4 linked regions of the Macaca fascicularis genome follow. The protein of the gene in region 1 purifies or fractionates together with the protein of each later gene. This does not show direct contact. Links are inferred from orthologs where the notes say so. Each region holds a gene or a part of one and is shown on either strand. Other genes may lie near its edges.

Region 1 (5,875 bases):
GCCTGCCTTTTCAGATAGGTGTGTTTGACCAGGTCCCCCTTCTCTTCTCAACATCCCCCATCAATCTCACTTCTCCCAGTTTTCATTGAAATGTCAGTGGTGTCCCCCGAGTCTCTTAAATCATTCAATTTCTACTTCCTCTGTCCTTTTTTCCTTTTAATACACCATTTAGCACACCATCTCCACTCACCTCCATGTCCACACCTTCAATTTCATTCAAATCAGGAGCCACTTCTGTTCAGTTTCTCTAAAGCTGAGCTTTCAAACTCTCCTGCCAGCTATTTCTGCGTCATGTGAATCTTTATGTTTCTCTGGTTCTTGTAGATGCTCCTTTATCTGACAGTAACCTTATTTGTCAAATAAAGGTGACAATAACATGATTATGCTGTTTTGGCAATTCAATTAAAAAAACACATGTAGGCTGCCAAGCAAACCGCCTGGCTGCCAGGAACTTCTCAGCTAACGTTAGGTGGACGCCTTGCCCTCCTCTGGGCTGCCCTGATGGTTGTGGTGTTCAGTTATGTCTCCAACTCTTCCTTCTAACCAGGCCTTCCCCTCTCACTGGCTTCCCACACAGCAGCCAAGACTCAGCCCCACTGGCGCCATCCCTGCCCCGCTTTCTCCAGCACCCCCGAGGCCTGAGCTGGAAAACAGGCACTGGGCCACACTTGCCTGAGCAGGACCTTTTCTACCTTCTTTGTGATATTATCCAATTCCTCCACCATAGGGTTACTTTTTAGTCTCCAGCAAGACAATGTTAACCCACCAAGCCTTCTGTCTCCGTTCTTCTCATACAAGTCAACTTTTTCAGTATTATTAGCTCATCAGAATGATGACTAGAATGTTGAGTTTAGTCCCCCATGAATCCATTCATTCCTTGGTTCCTTGATTCTACATTTTAATATGTACGATGTATATTTATACATATTACATTTAGTTACAGGGCATCGTATTAGATACCACACACAAATTATACTCAACACTCGGTTTATAAAAGTACACCTAATAATTTTTCAAACTAGAGGTTTCTTTCTCATGGAACACCCCTCAGTCAAAGGAATATCTTTTTGTTCTGAAGAATGGAAACATTCTGAACTCAGTGACTCACTGGCTTTTGCTTTTGCTTGTGGGGTATGGATAATTCTGTAAGAGGAGAGTCCTGCCACCTTAGACCTCAGTGGGGACGGTTAGGTGTGCATGTGCTTCATGTGCTGTGTGTTCCAGGGCTCCTGAAAACTGTGGTTGCCTTTACCCCCTAGATTCAGCTGTGTCCCCTCCAGTCCGGGATGTTGCGATGAATTCCCCAGCTCTGGTCCTCCCCAGCTCTGCTTCCTCTACTCCTGGCTCAGAAACGGCCATAATCCACAGAAAAAATGGTAAATATGGCAACTAAAGGGCCCAGGGACTGATGATGGAAAGTGATTAATGCAAATAATCTTTTGTTGTCTCTAAACATATTATCTGTATTTACAGAGTTTTCTCTGCATGCCCCGAGGCCTTTAGCCCTACTCACTGCACCTTCTGTGGCTGCCTTTCTTGCCATTGTTCATCCTCCTGTAGTTTTCCTACTGCTGTTTATGCTTCATTGCACCATAATCTCTCCATTCTTGAAAATGTTCTCTGTATCCAGCTTGATTTCCTTGTCTGTGTCTTCTCTACCCAGAAACTTATTATTTATTATAATTTGTCCTATTTCATTGGCCAATAAGAAAAAATTGTCCCCTGGCAAATTTATCATTAAGAGATGATGTAAGAAAAATTACAAAAATATAGAAGCCAGAAGATCTCTATGGTCTTTGCCCCACCCTTGTACATTCCAAGGCTTCCTTTCTTGTTCCCAGCCTCTTCCTTTTCTTGTCTCCTACCTCTTCTGAGTTGGAGCAAACCTAGGATATCATTATGAATAACAGAGGATTCTGTTGTGTTGTTATTTTCTTTTCCAGGCTTGGGTTTGGATACTTCTCCAGTAATGAAGACCCCTCCCAAGTTGGAGGGTGATGCTACTGATGGCTCCTTTGCCAATAAGCATGGCCGCCATGTCATTGGCCACATTGATGACTACAGTGCCCTGAGACAGCAGATTGTGGAGGGCAAGCTGCTGGCCAAAAAGATAGTGTCTCTTGTGAGGTCAGCGTGCAGCTTCCCTGGCCTTGAAGCCCAAGGCACAGAGGTAATCACACCTGTAGCTTTAGATGCACTGTTTCCTTGTGCCCTTTCTTCCTTTGATGGTAACTCCTTCTCCCACCATTTTTGTTTTTGTTTTTGTTTTTCGTGCTTTGCATCTCTCAACAGCTGAGGCTTCCTCTTCCATGTACAGCAGCCAGACCCTGTCTTCTCTGTCTCCTATTTTCACTGTCAGTTCTGCTCTGTTCCAGATGTAGCTGACTGGATATTTCCCCTCAGCCCCACAGAAACACGTGGCATTGCCTAGCAGCCTTTGGGAGCTTTTTTTTTTTTTCCTCTTTTCTTGTTTTTATTATTATACCTTAAGTTCTAGGGTACATATGCACAATGTGCAGGTTTGTTACATATGTATACATGTGCCATGTTGGTGTGCTGCACCCATTAACTCGTCATTTACATTAGGTATATCTCCTAATGCTATCCCTCTCCTCTGCCCCCTCCCCACAATAGGACCTGGTGTGTGATGTTCCCCTTCCTGTGTCCAAGTGATCTCATTGTCAAGTTCCCACCTATGAGTGAGAACATGCAGTGTTTGGTTTTCTGTTCTTGAGATAGTTTGCTGAGAATGATGGTTTCCAGCTGCATCCATGTCTCTACAAAGGACACGAACTCATCCTTTTTTATGGCTGCATAGTGTTCCATGGTGTACATGTGCCACATTTTCTTTTTTTTTTTTTTTTTGAGACGGAGTCTCGCTCTGTCACCCAGGCTGGAGTGCAGTGGCCAGATCTCAGCTCACTGCAAGCTCCGCCTCCCGGGTTCCCGCCATTCTCCTGCCTCAGCCTCCCGAGTAGCTGGGACCACAGGCGCCGCCACCTCGCCCGGCTAATTTTTTGTGTTTTTAGTAGAGACGGGGTTTCGCCGTGTTAGCCAGGATGGTCTCAATCTCCTGACCTAGTGATCCGCCCGTCTCGGCCTCCCAAAGTGCTGGGATTACAGGCTTGAGCCACCGCGCCCGGCCATGTGCCACATTTTCTTAATCCAGTCTGTCACTGATGGACATTTGGGTTGATTCCAAGTCTTTGCTATTGTGAATAGTGCCGCAATAAACATACATGTGCATGTGTGTTTATAGCAGCATGATTTATAATCCTTTGGGTATATCCCCAGTAATGGGATGGCTGGGTCAAATGGTATTTCTAGTTCTAGATCCTTGAGGAATCGCCACACTGTTTTCCATAATGGTTGAACTATTTTACAGTCCCACCAACAGTGTAAAAGTGTTCCTATTTCTCCACATCCTCTCCAGCACCTGTTGTTTCCTGACTTTTTAATGATCGCCATTCTAACTGCTGTGAGATGGTATCTCATTGTGGTTTTGATTTGCATTTCTCTGATGGCCAGTGATGATGAGCATTTTTTCACGTGTCTGTTGGCTGCATAAATGTCTTCTTTTGAGAAGTGTCTGTTCATATCCTTTGCCCACTTTTTGATGGGGTTGTTTGTTTTTTTCTTGTAAATTTGAGTTCTTTGTAGGTTCTGGATATTAGCCCTTTGTCAGATGAGTAGATTGCAAAGATTTTCTCCCATTCTGTAGTTTGCCTGTTCACTCTGATGGTGGTTTCCTTTGCTGTGCAGAAGCTCTTGAGTTTAATTAGATCCCATTTGTCAATTTTGGCTTTTGTTGCCATTGCTTTATGCAGGCACATGACCATCTGTGGGCAGAGTTGACACAATGGGGTGGACAGAAACTGAAGGATTTGCAGGTGTATGGCCCCCACATGTGGAAGGGGTGAGAAGCCTGGCAGCCATGGCATTTCCTTGTGCAGACTGCATAGAGGGAGGGAAGGCAGTCAGCAAAGCTTCTCAGAGCGCCTTGCCAGTGAGAGAGACCAGGCACCAGGGCTGTGCTGTCTGAGCTGCTGGAGACCCATGGATGCGTAGGGACAGCCCTGCCTCCACGGAACCCCACACTAGAGGGCAAGACACACACACAAGTAGATCAGCACAGTAAGGGGCTACAGACACAGCATGAGAAGCCATCCTCTGTGCTGTGAGGCCGCCAATGCAAACGTGGTCATTTATCTCAGGCAAGGAAGGTAACAGGTTCATAGAGGACACAGCAAGGGGGGTGAGTTTTGAAAGCCTTGTGGGTTCTGCAGGTGGAGGGAGGCATACCTGGTAAAGGGACCAGCACCTTAGTTCTGAGAGCTGCAAATGGTTGTGCGAGGGCTTCACAGTTCAAGCAGGCCCATGTTCTGTGCCTCACTCACAAAGGAAGCGGGAGCCCATGCAGGGGGAAGAAAGTAATCTCTCCGCTTCTGTGGTGTTACCTTTCCCCAGGTGATGGGCAGCAAAGGCATACATGAGCTTCGGAGCAGCACCACTGCACTGCACCATGCCCTAGAGGAGTCGGCTTCCCTCCTCACCGTGTTCTGGAGAGCGGCCCTGCCAAGCACCCACATCCCTGTGCTGCCTGGCAAAGTGGTAAGATGCCAGTGTCCTTTCTTGGTTTGAACCCAGTTTTCCTGCCCTCCAATACTGTTCTGTCTCTTCAGTGTCACAGCTTTTCCAGAAAATCGGGAGCCACATAGTGAATTGGGATAGACAGGACCTTAGAGGAGTGTCCCTGGAGGGACATCTCTGACCCATGGTGGCTGCTTTCATTGCAGCTGTAAATACATCCCATTCCCCACCAACCCCCTGGCCCCTGGATAAAAAATCAAGAAGAGGAAGGGGTGTGGAGAAGGCGGAGACATCATAACCCTGGCAATCCATAAAGGTTCAGTTTCTTTACCTCTCTGAAGTTTGGCTGAGCTGAAATTCAGTTAAAGCTTCAGCACCCACCTCCCACCCCTCAGGTCCCATGGTCACATGATCACAGAATGCCCCCATGAGACTGAGCCTTTTCAGCCGCTGCCTGGAATTCCAGCATATCACTTCAGCTGGCATCTCTGGACCAGGCCTGGGGAAAGTCAGCCACTCCTCAGGATCTGCTCAGAGCTCAGGCTAACTCTGATTGGCAGACCCTCGAGGAGACAGGTTTCAGGATCCCCTCCCCAGGGATCCCAGCTCCAGATCAATGTCACCAACACCTTTGGGATCCAGCTAGGCTCATTCCAGGGAGACGGTGTTTTGCCATCTCCATATTGGCACAAATATTTACAAACTTGCAAACTTTCCTGAGTCCAGATCTCTCTCCCGAATGTATCATTTCTGAACTTGCCTGTGAAGGGAGTGACAGAACTGATATCAGGACTAAAGCAAGGTCCTCTTCAGAGCTGGGAGTTTTATTCCAGCCTGAAGCGAAATTCTCTTAAGCTACAGGTGTGTGGGCCTGTGCTAGTCTACATGGGGAATTCCAGAGTCTCAATATTCCTACCTAATGGCCTCATCCTAAACTGTCCTCAGCTGGAGGTATCTGAGGCTGTGAAGGAGGAAATCCAGTTCAGGAGGGTGGAGAAGATTGTAGAATCCTTCTTGGAATTGGAAAGAGCCACAAAGCACAGGGTGCTTTAGTCCTTCTGCCTGTTCAGTAAGAGTCTGTTCCTCTTATCCAGGGAGAATCAACAGAAAGGGAACTTCTGGAACTGAGAACCCAAGTATCCAAACAGGAGCGGCTCCTTCAGAGCACAGCTGAGCGCCTGAAGACTGCGAACCAGCAGAAGGAGAGCATGGAGCAGTTCATCGTCAGCCAGCGTAGGTTCCCTGAGAGGGAATGGGGGAAGAAACGGGCAGTCTTCCCGATGCC
Region 2 (6,516 bases), on another chromosome or scaffold:
TTCCGACAGACCTCCCTGGCCTGCCTAGAGGCTTTCTTGGTCAGTGCCCGTCAAGGCTCTGGTCCTGCTGAGCCAAAGGTTCTGTCATTCCTTTCTCTTCCCGTTCACTGAGCAGATCCACTCCAGCTTTCTGGTGTCACAGGCAGGAATCTTGGTTAGTAGGTAGACTTAGATCCCATTTCTGTCCTGCTCCCAGGAAGATTCTTAGGTCCTCTTCAATCCAGCAGCCCCTGGAAAACTCTGCTCCCAGAGGTGTGATCAGCAGGATGCTGAGGAACCATGTTGCCTTTCCTGTCAATCATAGCCACCTTCCTGTTATCTCCTAAATGGATCTGGCTTTTTCTAGTTGGAAGATGGTGTCAGAGGGCCTGCCTGCGCAGTCTGTCTCTGGGTCGGGGTCAGGGACCCTCTGCTTCTGGCAGCCTTAATCTTCTCTCTGCTAGGACCAGGGTGATTTCAAGCCAGGGAAGCAACTGGGACCCTGAAAACCATCCCTCCCCAGCCTGCTCTCCCTCTCTGTGCCCTGGTCCCCTTGCTGCCATGTGGATGCTGTTGTGATTGCTGTTTGTATATTATTAAAATGTTTTTATATTAAAAATGTTTGGTTGGTCTGAAAATTAAAAGCACTTGGTTTAGAATGATTGTTTGTGCTTTTGTCTTGTGTGGACTGAAGCAACTTTGTCCACTCTCCCCCAGAAGTGGTCTCATGACCTGTCCAGTGGGTGGGCTGTCCCATGTCTTCTTCCCAGCTTCCTACTCCAGTCTTAATTGGTTCTACAGTATTCCAGACTGAGGTTCCAGAAGAGGTTTTTGTCAAAATTTAAGCAAACCAGCTGTCCTGCAGATAGATTATAATCAGTGATTTTTCAGACTGCCCTTGACCCACAGGAAGAAATTAACATCGTGATCCCAACACACAAACAGCAATGCTTTTATTAAATTTTACTAAACCTTAACCATGTAACCATCCAGAGGCCGAGTGGTCAGCCATTTTCGCGTAATTCACAGAAAGGCTCTGACTCTCCCTCCCTGGAACCATGGTTGATCTGGGAACATGGGTGCAGACAGCGGCTGGAGAGGGCGTAGGCTGTTCAAGTCTAAGCAGCAGATCGGCTTGCAGTTGAGCCCAGCTAGCCCTTCCGTGTCAGGGTGACCTGACTTCTCCCCTCCCCTGACCCTCTCTTAAGTGCTTCTCAATCAGGAGCAGTTCGGCCCCGCAGAGCACATTCACCAATGTCAGGAGACAGCGGTTGCCACAGCCAGCAGGAAAAGAGGAGGGGCTACTGGCATCCAGTGGGTACAGGCGGGGGATGTTGCTCAACACCCAGTGGTGCGCAAGACACCCCCAGCAGAGAATGATCCAGCCCCACTGTCAGTAATGTCGCAGTTGGGAAACCCCGACTGTCCTCGGCTAAGTGTGTACTGAAAGAGGATCCCGAAGGAAGGGGCAGGTTCCCTTTGCATTGCCGACAGGAAATACAGACGGGGAATGGGAGCAGGGAATCTGCCTGGCTGTACCCCAGATTCCTCATCTGTGCAATGGGAGTGATGATGGTAGCACCTACGCGATGGGAGTGTGGTGCGAAGGAGCGTTAAGTGGGTGCCAGCTCTTACTACTGGCAGCCCAGGGCTAGGACCCAGCAAAGGGGTGGACATTGAGCGCCCCTTCCCAGCCACTCCTTGCGCCGGGCCCGGCATCCTCCTGACTGCGGCTGGGAAAACCCAGGAGGCCCCGCGGCCTGGCCCCCAAGCAGGCCTGGCCACGGCTGCCCAGCGCCAGGCCTTATGAATGACGCCGGCGGCGGCCGGGCGACCTCTGACCCGCGCGCCGGTCGCGCCCCTCCCCCGCTGGCAGGTGGTCAGCGGCTGCGCCGGGCAGGCCGCGGCGCCAACCCCGGCTGGCCGACAGCCGCTGCCGCACTGAGCGGGGGCGGGGGACTGCGGCGCGCGCGGGGCCGGCCGGGCGCCCGCCGGGGCCGCCTCCTGAGCCTCGGAGTGCTGCGCGGCCGCCCGCCAGCCTCCGCCGCCCCGCCCCGCCGGCCCGGGCCCGCAGACTGCGCCTCTGCCCCGCCCTCTCACCCCCGGATTGACACTGAGCGTTCTGCTGGGGGCTTGTCGAACAGGGCACCTCCGCCAATCGGCGGCCTCGCGGGGCGGACCCCGGGCCCAGTCCAGCGCCTCGGCCAATCGGACGCGTCTGCCCGCCCAGCTGCGGCCTCACGAGCGCGTGAATGGCCGAGAGTCCGCGGTGACGTCACGAGATTGAGAGCCTATAGCGGCGAGAGAAGGTCGCGGGAGGGCCAATGGGCGGCGGCGCGGAGCCGTCAGTCAGGGCGGCCTAGGCCAATGAGCGGCGGGCTGCGGGGGCGTCACGGACAGCAGCAGAGATCTTGGGCTGAGGTTCCCGGGCGGGCGGGCGCGGAGAGACGCGGGAAGCAGGGGCTGGGCGGGGGTCGCGGCGCCGCAGCTAGCGCAGCCAGCCCGAGGGCCGCCGCCGCCGCCGCCCAGCGCGCTCCGGGGCCGCCGGCCGCCGCCAGCACCCGCCGCGCCGCAGCTCCCGGACCGGCCCCGGCCGCCGCCGCCGCGATGGGCAACGCCGCCGCCGCCAAGAAGGGCAGCGAGCAGGAGAGCGGTGAGTGCCCCGGCCGTGACCCCGATCCCGGCCCTGCGCTGCCAGTCCTGGCCTTGTCCATCATCGCCTGGCCCCTCCCCCTACGGGGCCCCCCCATTCCTCTCTGCCTACCCCCCAGCGCCCCTTGCCCCGGCCTGTCCAAGGCTGGGGCCCGCGGGCCCGCAGAGTACCCCCTGTAGGGGTCCCCTTCCCCTAGGGCCGCCCCACACTGCAAAGACCGTGCTCCCCCCCAGCTGTCACTGCCAACCATGGCACGTATGACCGCTGGGGCCCCACATGGGGCCCTGTCACCAGCCTACCCCCTCCTTTCCTGGCCCCTCTCCCCAGATTCTAATCCCCCCACTTCCTCACTCACTTCTGTCGCCTATGGGATCCTCTGCCTGACCCCGACCCATGTTTCTGCCAGTTTGGGAATGCGATGGGGTCTGTCTGCCTCTACCGCGCAGGGACCTTGGCCACTTGGTGACCACACCCCTCCCCCCTCCAGCCCCCGCCATCTTTCTCCTGCCCTTCCCCTCTTCACCTTAGCACAGCCCCCGCTTCCAAACCCATCCTACCCCCCTGAGCATTTCCCAGAGCCACCTCCAGCATTGTTTTTTTCTTCTGTGTCACTTGGCATGGGGGACAGGATCTTTCTGGGTCCCTCTGCCTCTCTCATCCTGTCACTGTGTCATTCTGCTTCTCTGCTTGGGCTCCGTCCTCCAAGCAAGCGTCTGTCCCTGGCTGGGGTAGCAGACTGTTTATGAACGTAGAGAACTGCTTCAGTGCTTCCAAAGCCAAGTTTGAGCTGGTCTTGTTGGGATTCATTGCGTCCTCTTTCCTGCGTTGGGGTAGGGGGGTGGTGGCAGAGCCCCCTCGCATTTCCTGCCTTGCAGTGAGCTCTAGGCTCCATGGAGGGCCCCTCAATAAATGGTCGTTTCACAACTGAGGCTCCGTCATTCACCCAGTGCCTGGGGCTTCTTCCACCGCTCCTGGTTTGGGATGAAAAGTGTCTGCGTTTAGCGAGGTTCATTCGGTTTTAATTGGGATGGTCAGAAAGAGCACTGGGGAGGGGGAGGCAGTCAAAGAGAGTAATGGGTGATGTCTAGTGATTTGCTTTGATGTCTAGTGATTCTGATCATTCCCAGGGCTCAGCCAGAGAGAGACCTTTTTCACCCACTTGCCCCCAAATTATGTTGGCCTTTTCCAGCCAGCCAGAGAAAGAGATTCTCTATCTGGAAATACCATCAGAAATGGTCTTGAACCCCATTCCCAATTCTTATAGCTCTTAAATTGTTGTCACGTCAGTCTGAAAGCTGGAAGGCGGCTGGGATCCCCTGTCCACTTACCCAGAAATAGTCAGAACTATTAGTCGAAAAGGAAGGCCAGTTTTTGGTCTCAAACCCCAGCATCTGAGTTCCCTGACTACCCCCTCCCAGAAAGGTATGAAAGCCAGGGAACTTTATTCCTATACGGATTCAGATAGCAGAACTCAGAGTTACAGAGCAATCATGAAGAGGCCTGACATGTCACCAATGGGCGGGGGCCGGGGAGGGAAGTGCCTGTAGCTGAGTGCTTGATGACAGAGGAGCAGGTGGGTAGTGTCCAAAAAAGGTCTGGGCATGAGCTTGGAGGGGACTTGGCAGAGGGGGAGGAGTCAGGCCCCCAGCAGGTGAGGCCAGCTGGGAGGTGGAAGGTGGAGGCAGGCAGCTATGTATTACGGTGGCTCAGTTGAAAGTTGGGGAGATGACAGTCCTGGAAAACCTTCAAGGCTATTAGACACATGTGGTGGCGGGTGGAAAGCTGCACAAGAAAAAGGATCCTAAGAAAAAGATCAGAGGCTCTGGAAGGAACCACTGATTCTCTCAGAGCACAGGTCAGACACCCAGGAATGAATGATCACGGTAAAATAGAGCTACTATTTGTTGGGCATCTAGGCTGTGCCACAGGCTAAATGGCCAGGCAGATAGATATATCTACTCTAGTGACTTTCATAACGGGCTGTTATCCAAATTTTCCAAAGGAGCCCTCTGGCAGAAATGACAGCCATGACATAGATGATGTCACAGAGGCAGGATTCACATCCAGATCCACCTACCAGCAAACTTCTTGGACCCCAGAATTTCCCGACTCTGACATTTTTCAGCAGCCTCCCAGATTTTTACTCTATCATATTTTCTTAATTTAAAATAATAAAAATTTTACTCACTTCTGTTCAGATGTAAACTTGGAGCTCATTCTAAACAATAATATAAATGAAATCATGGGATTGCTATGCCAGTTATATTTTCTCTGATACACATTAAATACAGTGTAACTAGATAAATGAAACATCCCGAAAATCATGTCATGTTCTGCCAATGGGACCATGTCACACTTTGAGAAACGCCCGAAGCTGTACTTCCTCCCAGAGGCTTCCAGAGAAGGAAATAAGATGAGGAAGGAAGTCCCTCTTTGCTTTGAGGCGCTCTGATTCTGAGAGGATAGAGTTGGACAAAATTTGCCTTCTTACAAGGGTGGGGCAGGGGCGGGGGCAGTAGCCAGGCCAGCCTGCAGGGGGCACCTGGATTTCATCTGCCAGACGCCGGCCCGACTGGGGTCAGGAAAATGCCCAAGCCTTGGGAGGCACCAGTTAAGCATCCTGCAGTCCCCTGTGGTACCATCTCTGCCAGGGCAAGACAGACTCCGCCTCCTCCCAAGAGGCCAGGGATCCAGAATGAGCCCTGGAGTGGAATGGGGAGAATCTACACCCAAAGATGGCAAAGCCATTGGGAGAGCTGAGAGGGCCGAGAAAAAAGACTAAGTCCCAGATGCTGGCCAGGTTCGAAGAATGGAGAGGGAGCAGCGGCCCCAGAGGGCAGGCGCCCAGGTCAGACAGCCAAGTGGGGCTCAGGTCGTGGCTGGCACTGACTGAAGATACCCCTGGGAGCTGGCCCATAGGGGAAGAGGCAGAGCTGGTAAAAGGGAGCCCCCCCCCATCCCCGGGACACAAGCAGATCCCGGCAAAGAGAGAAAAGCACCCCCCAAGAAGACGCTAGATGGGAAGAACTAGTGCCATGCAACATCCTATGGATGCCTAAGACGGCCAAACACGTTCTGTGCCTTGGCAGTTGTATGGGTGCCCAAGAGGGTCTTGTCAAGGTAGTGCTCCCCTTAGCGCAACCACGTCTACAGAAACTTGGAGGGTCCTATCTGTCCCTCCTCTGCACCCTAGTGGCCTCTGGGTTGGGTTTCTCTTCCTGATCCCACCCCACGTCTCCCTAGCTCCCCCTGCAGGGAGGGTTCTGGGGATGGACAGCCCGGCAGACACGGTAGGTCTCATGAGCCTTCCCAGCCACCGTAGTCCCGGTGCCCTGAGAACAGGACTGAGTGATGGCTTCCAACTCCAGCGATGGTGAGGCTGAGCCCTGTTACTATAGCAACTTCCCAGGCACACGCTGCCCCTCAAGTCAGGGAGGGGCTGCAGAGGCGTCTGGGGCACTGGCGAAGAGGAAGAGGATGTGAACCCCTGGCTGGCCCTGGAAACGCCTCCTGTATAGCCCCAGGCTGTGCGGACTGGGGAAGAACAGAGGGGATCGGTGGCCCAGTTCAGACAAGGGAGGATGGTCCACCCAGCAGGGGGGCCAGCTCAGACAAGGGTGGTGGAGAGGTGCATCCCAGTGTTGGGGTTCAGCTCAGTCTGTGGGATGAGCCATCCCAGTGTTGGGGTCCAGCTCAGAGTTGTGGCATGGTAAGCCCAGAGGAGGGAATCCAGGCTCCACTGGAGGAATCAGCCAGCCTCGAGTAGGGGGCCCAGCCCAGGCTGGGCATTCCTGCCCCAGAATTCCCAGGACAGCCAGATTTCTTTTTTTGTTTTGTTTTGTTTTGTTTTGGTTTTTTTTGAGGCGGAGTCTCGCTCTGTCTCC
Region 3 (4,976 bases), about 36 Mb from region 1:
CCCCCGCTTCCTCCATATAGGAAGGAATTTATGTCTTAAAGTTATTGCTTAAATTTTTATTTTGGTTGCTATTATTAATGTGTTTGCTTTCCCATTATAGTAGGATATGGGCAAAACATATTGTTTCTATGTTTATATTATAATTGACCATGTTACTAAATTCTGTTATTGATTTCCACATTTTTCAGTGATTCCTTTGGATTTTTATTGACAATCACAGGAGATTGGCATATCATTTTGTCTGTTCCTTTTCAGTATTTACATCTCATTTCCATTTTTGTTTTATTATATATATTAGAATGTCTAAAACAATATTTTAATGCAGTAGGGCTCTTGAGCTTTCTTGTCTTGTTCCTGCTTTGAATGGAAATGCCCAAGAATATATTTTCAGGGATCATTTCTATAGTTTGTTGCCTTTCATGTTTTGCCACCAAATATAAAGTTGGCCATTTGGCTGAGATAGGTATTCTTTATCAGATTAACAAAATATTGTTGATTTCTAATACACTGTATTTTGTCTTTTTTGACATTTTAGTGTGATGAATTATATCAGGGAGACATCCTCACTTTCCTGGAATGAATACCATTTAATCATGGGGTATTAACATTTGAATATTTGCCTGAAATATATTTGCCAAAATCTTATTAAGTGTTTTTACTTCCATAGTCATAAGTTTTATTAATCTATAGTTTATGTTTTTCTGAAGTTGGGATTATATGGGATTCGTAAAATGAGTTTAGAAAGTTTCCATCCTTTTATTCTGCAGAAAATTTAGGAACATAGAGTTATCTTATATCTATTCCTTATAAATTTTAACAAACTAATTCTTGGATATTGGTCTTTTTGAGTTTTTACTTTTTGAGTCAATTTAAGAAATTTATATTTCCAATAAAATCATCCATTTCCCTTTCTAATTATCATTGCTTATATTATCTTTATTGTTGTATTTATTGTTAATTAATGCTATTTCGAGGTATATTTTTTAGATTGCCTTGAGGCTTGTCAGCTTTATTAGTATCCTAAAGATTTATGATGTATTTGCATCTTTTCATATTTATATTTACAAATAAAATCTTCTGCCAAATGGCAATCATTTACTAATCTATTCATGTTATGTATTTAATTTTTAATAATTATTCCCAAAATGGAGTAGAACTGGACTGCCACTACTCATTTAGAGTTTATGTGCTTTTCAAAGGGCTTGACTTTTCCCAGGTAATAAACAGCTAACCTACCAACAAGTGGCACACTGTAACGTACAGGTTGTAGTAATGGACAAATTGATTGACAGCCAAATCTTGATTATCGTTGAAACAGATGTAAGGATCCCTGGATAATTTACAAATAAGAATAATAGAGTACTTTAACCATTTGTTTTCTTATCTTCTCAACTATTATAACTATGCACAGCGGTGCAAAAATCATAGTAAATATGAATAGTTTTCATTGTCTTCTTTATTCTCTGATACATCTGCAAATGCATCAGGGAAGAAAAAAGGCCGAAGAAAGAAGTGGCCTGAACAACTCAAACTGTACAATCATTTTCTACATGTGATTGCCCCAATAGGTTTGTTATTCTAAATTGCTGGCTGGCTAGACATGAAGCAACTGTCTGCTTATCTCATTCTTCTGGACAGTGCAAAACAGCAGTCCCCAAAGCAGGGCATGCAAGGCAACCAGCTCTCAAACAAAAAGATAATATTAGAAGTCCCATTCCTGCTTATTTTTACCTTGTTCTTTTTCAATACCTTATTTGTGTGTATATATCTTAGTATAGTCATGCATCTAAATAATTTGTAAGTAAATAACCATATATATTGATTATGTATACTAGAAAATGTTTTACTGAAAGAGATATAAATTAAAAACCCTTGGAGAGCTCTGGGCCAGAAGTGGAGAATCATGAATTTGAAAGCTGCTTTAGCCGCTTATCCATCATGTGAATTTGGTCGACTCTTTTATAATCTGTAAAATGGGAGTAAGAACACCTGTCCTTCCTTCCTCACAGTGTTGTATTGAGAACAAAATAAAGCGACTGTAATTGTTTGTAAATTCTCTAAAGGCTGTGCAGATTATGATTTTTTTTTAACTTTTAAAATCTTTTCCTCAAACGTATTCAGTACCCACATTTAATCTTTATGGAAGACCATATTCAAAGTAGTGGGAAGACATTTTACTTTTAGGATCAAAGGAGAAAAATATTTAAGGTTTAACAATTCTCTAATTCTAAAAGAGATATGTTTCTTTCCAACCTCTCAGAAAGTTTTGATGGCCAGATATTTTAAACAAAACAAACTTGGGAATTAAAAAAGGAAAGCAATTAAAAGTAAGTCTGAGATTTATCTGTAACTTCAGGAGAAAAGAATTTTTACAAAAGGAATAGGAAAAGATAAGGTCTTAAAAACAAGGAACTAAACATTAACACTTAAGTTTTGTAACCTTAGGAGCCAGGATTTTGATGCCAACAGTTAATTATCCCAGAAATTTCTTAAGTATTTTGTTGACCTGCATACTTCCTTGAATCAAAATGTTGAGGTTAATAGCTAACCTACTGTTTGCTGCTGCTTCTAGCCCTGTTACATTTTAGGAACCTAATGGCATCTAAGGATTCCACCATGTAATAACAGTGGGAATTTATTTTTCTTGGTGTTTGAAAACTCTCAGGAATTTTTTTTTCTTTTTTCTTATTTTTCTTTCTCGGTCAATTATAGGTTGAAGCTCCATTCATACCAAAGTTTAGAGGCTCTGGAGATACCAGCAACTTTGATGACTATGAAGAAGAAGATATCCGTGTCTCTATAACAGAAAAATGTGCAAAAGAATTTGGTGAATTTTAAAGAGGAACAAGATGACATCCGAGCTCACACTCAGTGTTTGCGCTCTGTTGAGAGATAAGGTAGAGCTGAGACCGTCCTTGTTGAAGCAGTTACCTAGTTCCTTCATTCCAACGACTGAGTGAGGTCTTTATTGCCATCATCCCGTGTGTGCACTCTGCATCCACCTATGTAACAAGGCACCGCTAAGCAAGCATTGTCTGTGCCATAACACAGTACTAGACCACTTTCTTACTTATCTTTGGGTTGTCTTTCTCCTCTCCTACATCCATTTCTTCCTTTTCCAGTTTCATTGGTTTTCTCTAAACAGTGCTCCATTTTATTTTGTTGGTGTTTCAGATGGGCAGTGTTATGGCTACGTGATATTTGAAGGGAAGGATAAGTGTTGCTTTTAGTAGTTCTTGCCAATATTGTTGTTGGTCAATGGCTTGAAGATAAACTTTCTAATAATTATTTTTACTTTGAGTAGCTCAGACTCGGTTTTGCCAAAACTCTTGGTAATTTTTGAAGATAGACTGTCTTATCACCAAGGAAATTTATACAAATTAAAACTAACTTTCTTGGAATTCACTATTCCGGCAGTAAATTTTGGTAGACTAATACAGTACAGCTAGACCCAGAAATTTGGATGGCTGTAGATCAGAGGTTCTAGTTGCCTTTCCCTCCTTTTATATCCTCCTCCCCTTGAGTAATGAAGTGACCAGCCTGTGTAGTGTGACAAATGTGTCACTTTCAGCAGGAAAAACTAATGATATGGATCATCACCCAGATTCTCTCACTTGGTACCAGCATTTCTGTAGGTATTAGAGAAGAGTTCTAAGTTTTCTAAACCTTAACTGTTCCTTAAGGATTTTAGCCAGTATTTTAATAGAACATGGTTAATGAAAGTGACAAATTTTACAGTTTCTCTAATAGTCCTCATCATAAACTTTTTAAATGAAAATAAGCAAACTAAAAAGAACATTGGTTTGGATAAATACTTACACTTTGCAAAGTCAAAAAATGGCTTGGTTATTGAAAACATTATAGAGGTATTCATATTTAAATGAGGGTTTACGTTTGTTTTGTTCTGTAACCCTTAAAAAGAAGTTGTTTCCAGCTAATTATTCTGGTATACTATATTTGTGAGCCTAGGGTAGGGGCACTGCTGCAACTTCTGCTTTCATCCCATGCCTCATCAATGAGGAAAGGGAACAAAGTGTGTAAAACTGCCACAATTGTATTTTAATTTTGAGGTATGATATTTTCAGATATTTCATAATTTCTAACCTCTTTTCTGTCAGTAAACAGAATGTCTGATCGATCATGCAGATACAATTTTGGTATTTGAGAGGTTAGTTTTTTTTCTACACTTTTTTTTGCCAACTGACTTAACAACATTGCTGTCAGGTGGAAATTTCAAGCACTTTTGCACATTTAGTTCAGTGTTTGTTGAGAATCCATGGCTTAACCCAGTTGTTTTTCTGGTTTTTTCTTTACTTTTAATTTTCCCCATCTGATTTTATCTCTGCGTTTCAGTGACCTACCTTAAAACAACACACAAGAAGGGTTAAACTGGGTTCATTTTAATGATCAATTTACATGCATATAAAATTTGTTGTTTTTAATCAAGCTGATCTTAATGTATATAATCATTCCATTTGCTTTATTATCGGTGCAGGTAGGTCACTCACACCACTTCTTTTCATCTGTACCACACCCTTGTAAAACCTTTGAAGACATAAAAAAATCCTGTCTGAGATGTTCTTTCTACCAATCTATATGTCTTTCGGTTATCAAGTGTTTCTGCATGGTAATGTCACGTAAATGCTGATATTGATTTCACTGGTCCATCTATATTTAAAACGTGCAAGAAAAAAATTAAAATACTCTGCTCTAGCAAGTTTTATGTAACAAAGACATATCGTCATGTTAATAAATTTAAAACATCATTTGTATAAAATATTTTAATTTTCTTGTATTTCATTTAGACCCAAGAACATGCTGACCAATATATTCTATATGTAAACTATAAATTCTATGGTAGCTTTGTTGTATATTATTGTAAAATTATTTTAATAAGTCATGGGGATGACAATTTGATTATTACAATTTAGTTTTCAGTAATCAAAAAGATTTCTATGAATTCTAAAAAAAATATT
Region 4 (5,875 bases), on another chromosome or scaffold:
CATGCTTTAAAAGCAGTATTGTACTAAAGTTTGCACTTACTTTTACTTGGATACCTCTAGTTAAAAAAATAAAAATAAATCTCTTAAGGAGTACCTAGTCAGTCTGCCTTAGAACTTGTAGTGATTAGTTCATTGATTTCTCATTGACAAGGATCTTAAAATTTAACCAAAAAGATGATGTAATAATATGAAAAAAGTGAACAGAGAAAAAAAGTTGATGATTCTACACATTGATCATTTTTTAAAATTTGCATATTTCTTTTCATTTATTAAATATCGGCATGAATTTATATTTTTCAAATTGGTTTTTGTGTCATTCTGTGTCCTTTCTTTGTTTTTGTCCAATATTGCATCATACATGTTCCCTCTGCTTTCACATGGGCTTCCTAATGATTGTTTGCAGGCTATTCTTAGTCACCAGTCCATGACCCCGTTGATTATTAAAGTGGTCTCTGATTTAGAGCCATAATAGACATCAATGTTAATATACTTTTTGCTGTTAAACAATATTCTTAGGAGAAAACCCGACCAGGGGAATCTCAGAAGTTTAGAAAGGTGCCATATTTCTACCTTCTAAATGGTCTGTCCATCAGAAGTGTACAAAGGTAGTGGTTTTTGCGTGACCTCATCAGCATCGGGCATTAATATTTTTAACATGGGTCTGCACCTGGCCCTTTTTAAGGCTTTGAGGAGCTTGTGGGGGTGGGCTAGGGGAGATTGAAGCAAGGAGAAGAGTTCTGTGCTTGGGGTGCCCAGGAAGGAGCGTTGGGTAGCTGAAGCGAGGAGGCCATCAAACAGCCTTTGCCTTTGAAATTTGCCGAAAGCAGCCCTCAGCATGTGTGGCAAGAGGCATCCAGGAGAGCATTCAGAATTCACGGTGTTGCCTCAGCAGAAAAGTTTTCTAATTTTCTTGAGTCAAGATCAGAATTGTAGGCAGCAGCATTTCTTCCTTTGCAAAAGACTTCTCAGGTCTGTATTTAAGTGCATCTGTTTTTAAAATTATGTTCTAAAGGCTGATGTCTTTCGCTGAGAGTGATTCCTCTCAGGGCCAGCTCTATGGAGCTGACCTCCTGGCTCCTTGGCCTTAGGAACTGTAGCAGACCCTTGGGTGGTGCTGGAGTGCAGCAGCCCACTGCCCAGTGGTGCAGGAGCTCTGATGGGGGGATCCTAAACCCTGGGCTCGCTTGCTCTCTGCCACTGACGTGCTGGGTTATGCTGGACAGATCACTTTCTATCTCTGCCACTTGGTTTCCCCTTCCATGAAATCTGAATTACAATGTGTTCTGCCCACTGAGCTATTGAGTCCAATAGCTTTTCATATGTGAAAGTGCTTTCCAAATTATTACGTGTTGCACAGATCATCTGTACATCATCTATTGATTTTGCCTCCTTACAGTGTTGCAAATACATCACCCCCCAGATCCTATTGTGGGTTACTCTCATCTCTGGCTTAGATTAGTGTGGCAGCCTCCAGACAGAAAAAAAACTCCTCCAGTACAAAATACAGACCTCAGCTTGACATTGCGTTGCCCAAAGCCCTTGAGTGGGCCCCTCAGTCCTCTTGGTTCTGGCCTTGCATCCTACTTTGTCCTTCCCTGCCCCCTGGGCCTTGGGTCTATGAACTGCTTATTTCTCCCTGAGTGATGATTCCACTCTTCGTCCCACTGTCTGCCTCTCACCTGCCCATTGTGCTGCCTGGCATTTCTTTCCCTCCTTCTTACCACAGGTCAGTCACAGTCAGTCTTAAAATGGTGAAACCCCATCTCTACTAAAAATACAAAAAATAGCCGGGCGTGGTGGCGGGCGCCTGTAGTCCCAGCTACTCGGGAGGCTGAGGCAGGAGAATGGCATGAACCTGGGAGGCGGAGCTTGCAGTGAGCCGAGATTGTGCCACTGCACTCCAGCCTGGGTGACAGAGCAAGACTCCATCAAAAAACAAACAAACAAACAAACAAACAAACAAAAAAAACACATAAGGTTTTAAAACAGGTGTTAGCCTTTGGGAAGCCAAGTTGGGGGTAGTGCCCTCACCTGAGCCTCAACAGCCTGTGTTTTCATTAACACTAAAATAAAATTGCTTGTTTACTTTTCTGCTAAGAGTTTTTCTAGGGAACGGATTGGGCCTGGTCACTCTGTCTCCCTGGTGTCCCACACAGGTGGGCCTGGCAGGACAGAGGCCTAGTGAAGATTTGAAGGAATGCTTGTGTGTGTATGAATTAGTGAATGTGAGGGGCTTGACTGTATTCTCATTCAGTTCTCTCTTGAATGCTGACAGCAGTGAAACTAACAGTTCTCGTGTTTTGCATTTTGTAGATGGTGACAAAGATCCCATGGAAAGTGATAATTCATTTGATCTGTTTGATTCCTCCCAGGCAGTGACACCAAAATCAGGTACAAAGCTGAAGTCTGGGTAACGGTGGCAGCATTGGATGTGACAGTAAGACTTTTTAAATTGCAGAAAAGGGGGTCCCTAGTCCCACCTCAGGAGGGTATTTGGCAAGGATTTGGGATTTCAAGTTCTCAGCATCTCCAGCTGGTGATATCCTCCTTCAAGCCAGTTAATCTACTCCTAGGTGTTACCAAGCTTAGAACATCATTGGGTCCCTGTTGCCTTAGATTAAAATTGTGACCATCTTTGTGAGGCTTTCAAGGCCGCCCAGGATCCAGCTCCAGTGGGCCCGTCCAGCCTTATCCCTTACCCTGGTGTAGCCACACAGGGGTCACCATCCTGCAGACAGGCCCACACTTTCCTCTCACTGTGACTTTTAGACCCCCTTTGTCCCACTCTTTGCCAGTAAAAGTCCCATTTCCTCAAGACTCATCATGAATGCACATTTTTCTGTGACATGGCTTTGCTGCTGTCCCTGGTCAGAATGACTCATCATTAGTGTAATTCTTGCTTCTTGCTCAGTCCAGCTCAAATGCTGCTCCTTCTCAGAAGCCTTCCCTGTTCTCTCCCTCCCTGCACAGATAATTGTTTTTCCTGGCTCTGGCCCTTCATCACTCTGCTGTTGCACCTTCCGCAGTGTCTGTGTTCTGATCAGACTGTGGGCTACTGGAATGCAGGCACCAGCTTGAGTTATCCTTGTGAATCTGGGGTCTTCTGCTGAGTGGGTGGTTGAAAAGTGTTGGTTGAGTTGACTTGAGCCTATCCTACAAGATGACTCGTAAGCCAGTGTGGGGTAATAGATAGAGGTCCAGGAGCCATGCGTCTTTTCCCCACTGGGCTTGTGTTGGGTGGCATTTGGGCACGAGGGCCTCTCCTAGCCCTCCTAGCTAGCTTCAACATCATAAGCGCCTTGAACGCAGAGTGTTACCTGAAACAGATTTTACATCCTACCTCTCATTTTACAGTTTCAGAGACTCTTCCACTCTCTGAGAATGACACGGACTCCCTCTCCTGTGACAGTGGCAGCTCGGCAACTAGCACTCCGTGTGTGTCCCGCCTGGTCGCTGGCCACCGCCTGTGGGCCAGCAAGAACGGCCGCCACGTCCTGGGCCTGATTGAGGACTATGAGGCCCTGCTCAAACAGATCGGCCAGGGACAGAGGCTTCTTGCCGAAATGGACATTCAAACCCAAGAGGCTCCTAGCTACACAAGTCAAGAGCTGGGAACAAAGGTAACCTGACCACAGAGCTGGAAGGCACAAGCTGCTCCCTGGGAGTGTCCATGGAAGGGGTAGGGGAGTCAGATGGTGCAGTTGTCCTCAGTAGGACCCTGAGAAGAGGGACTAGGAAGTGTGGCCCCAGAGAGCTCAGAGGTCAGGTCCAGTGTGGGGGACTGTGGGTGGTGGCTGTGTTTGATGGGGTTCATGCTCTGTATTCCTGCAGTTACTTCATGGGCTCTGCTGTCTTGCTCCCATGACGGCCTCTGTACATCTGGTCTCTCATCCATTCTTCTCTCCATCTGCACCCTGGTGTGTCTGTCCACTCATCTGCCCATCCACCTAGCTGTCACCCATTGTGAAGTGGAATTACTAGTTCAAAGGTTGTGAACTTTTTAGGGCTCTTGGTGATAACTGTTGCTGCATTACTTTCCAAAACAATTGTGTCTCTGTTCATGAATGTTTGTCTCACTATATTTTTGTCTTTGTTGAGGTTTTGTTGTTGTTGTTGTTGTGTTTTTTTATTTTGAGACAGGATCTAGCTCTGTCACCCAGGCTGGAGTGCAGTGGTGTGATCATGGCTCACTGTAGCCTCGACCCCACCTCCTAGGCTCAAGCAATACTCCTCCCTCAGCCTCGCAAGTAGCTGTGACCAGGCATGTGCCATCACACCTGGCTATTTTTTTTATTTTTATTTTTTAGAGACAGGGTCTCACTATGTTGCCCAGGTTGGCCTTGATCTCCTGGGCTCAAACGATCCTCCCACCTTGGCCTCCTAAAGTGTTGGGATTACGGGTGTCAGCTATCATGCCTGAGTATGTCAGCATATATATATATATATATATATTTCTTTTTTTTTTTTTTTAAATGGAGTCTCATTCTGTTGCTCAGGCTAGAGTTCAGTGGTGTGATCTTGGCTCACTGCAGCCTCCTCCTCTTGGGTTCACGTGATTCTCCTCCCTCAGCCTCTTTAGTAGCTGAGATTACAGGCACCTGCCACCATGCCCGGCTAATTGTTGTATTTTTAGTACAGACCGGGTTTCACCATGCTGGCCAGGCTGGTCTTGAACTCCTGACTTAAGGTGATCCAACTGCCTCGGCCTCCCAAAGTGCTGGGATAAAGGTGTGAGCCACCGTGCCCAGCCCAGGTATTTTTATTTATAATGACTTTTTTTTACTTTATTATCTAAAAAGGGTGTGTCTTTTTTCTCTTTTTTTTTTTTTTTGAGACAGGGTCTCGCTGTGTTGTCCAGGCTGGGGGATGTGGCATGATTGTGGCACACTGCAGCCTTGATCTCCTAAGCTTAAGCAATCCTCCCATCCCAGCTTCCTGAGTAGCCAGGACTACAGGTGTAGACTGCCACACCTAGCTAATTTTTTATTTTTTGTAGAGATGGGGGTCTCACTATGTTGCCTAGGGTGGTCTTGGATTTCTGGGCTTAAGCAATCCTCCCACGTTGGCCTCCCAAAGTGTTAGGATTATAGGCATGAACCACTGTGCCTGACCTCATTCTATTTTTGTATTTATTTTATTACTTATAAAAACAAATGCTTTTTTCATTTCTTCTTCTTTTTTTGTATTTCCCCTTTTCTGAATCACATAGATAATTTTCTTAAGCCCTTGATACCTCCCAATTTGAGTTTGCTCTGCCAGCGGTATAAGGCCGTGATATCATATTCACTACAGCAGGGCCATTTAACAGGGACCAGTAAAGACAAAACCATGTATTGTTTGCTGTTGGTGTCATTTTCTCTGGGCGGGTCTCTGTGGGCCGCCAAACCGTGAGAATGGCCCTCCCACAGACCCTGTACTTGGAGTAGTAACTGTAGTTAATGCTGGTGGTTATTAACCATGGTGGTTATTAATCATGGTTATTGATTGGGCTAAAATCACCCCTGAAATTCTCTCATAATCTACAATTCACCAGTCTTTAAGAACAATAAATTGGTGCTATGTGGTACCAGGCTTTCGCTCAGCATGTGAAACAGAAGCCCTACAGTCTGGAGATTTATGCTGCACGTTAAGGCTTGCTTGTCCAAAATCTTTTTCAAGACTGCACATAACAGCCTTCATATCCCCCCCGTGTAGGGTCCACACCCAGCACCACTGAGCAAGTTTGTGAGCAGTGTGAGCACAGCCAAGCTGACCCTGGAAGAGGCCTCCAGGCGGCTGAAACTTCTCTGGAGAGTCTCAGTCCCCGAAGATGGCCAGTGCCCCCTTCACTGTGAGCAGGTAGGTGGTGACACATGATTCAGAGGCTCAGTGATGC

The links.
Region 2: the proteins of PDE4DIPP2 (region 1) and PRKACA purify together in Homo sapiens (affinity purification with mass spectrometry; 5 studies listed by BioGRID and IntAct, with this or other methods). This does not show direct contact. The link is inferred for Macaca fascicularis from reciprocal best matches to the Homo sapiens genes PDE4DIP and PRKACA.
Region 3: the proteins of PDE4DIPP2 (region 1) and PRKACB purify together in Homo sapiens (affinity purification with mass spectrometry; 5 studies listed by BioGRID and IntAct, counting the BioPlex papers as one, with this or other methods). This does not show direct contact. The link is inferred for Macaca fascicularis from reciprocal best matches to the Homo sapiens genes PDE4DIP and PRKACB.
Region 4: the proteins of PDE4DIPP2 (region 1) and CDK5RAP2 purify together in Homo sapiens (affinity purification with mass spectrometry; 3 studies listed by BioGRID and IntAct, counting the BioPlex papers as one, with this or other methods). This does not show direct contact. The link is inferred for Macaca fascicularis from reciprocal best matches to the Homo sapiens genes PDE4DIP and CDK5RAP2.

Annotation. Positions count from the first base shown.
Region 1 is NC_088375.1:113,983,868-113,989,742, reverse strand, and holds part of PDE4DIPP2 (myomegalin), read left to right. Parts: intron 1-1,259; coding exon 1,260-1,376; intron 1,377-1,943; coding exon 1,944-2,170; intron 2,171-4,467; coding exon 4,468-4,611; intron 4,612-5,684; coding exon 5,685-5,823; intron 5,824-5,875. UniProt on the Homo sapiens protein: Functions as an anchor sequestering components of the cAMP-dependent pathway to Golgi and/or centrosomes.
Region 2 is NC_088393.1:14,534,640-14,541,155, reverse strand, and holds the start of PRKACA (cAMP-dependent protein kinase catalytic subunit alpha), read left to right. Parts: upstream 1-2,383; 5' UTR 2,384-2,586; coding exon 2,587-2,632; intron 2,633-6,516.
Region 3 is NC_088375.1:150,408,443-150,413,418, reverse strand, and holds part of PRKACB (cAMP-dependent protein kinase catalytic subunit beta), read left to right. Parts: intron 1-2,712; coding exon 2,713-2,838; 3' UTR 2,839-4,976. UniProt on the Homo sapiens protein: Mediates cAMP-dependent signaling triggered by receptor binding to GPCRs.
Region 4 is NC_088389.1:37,585,289-37,591,163, forward strand, and holds part of CDK5RAP2 (CDK5 regulatory subunit-associated protein 2), read left to right. Parts: intron 1-2,313; coding exon 2,314-2,391; intron 2,392-3,354; coding exon 3,355-3,620; intron 3,621-5,694; coding exon 5,695-5,838; intron 5,839-5,875. UniProt on the Homo sapiens protein: Potential regulator of CDK5 activity via its interaction with CDK5R1. Negative regulator of centriole disengagement (licensing) which maintains centriole engagement and cohesion. Involved in regulation of mitotic spindle orientation.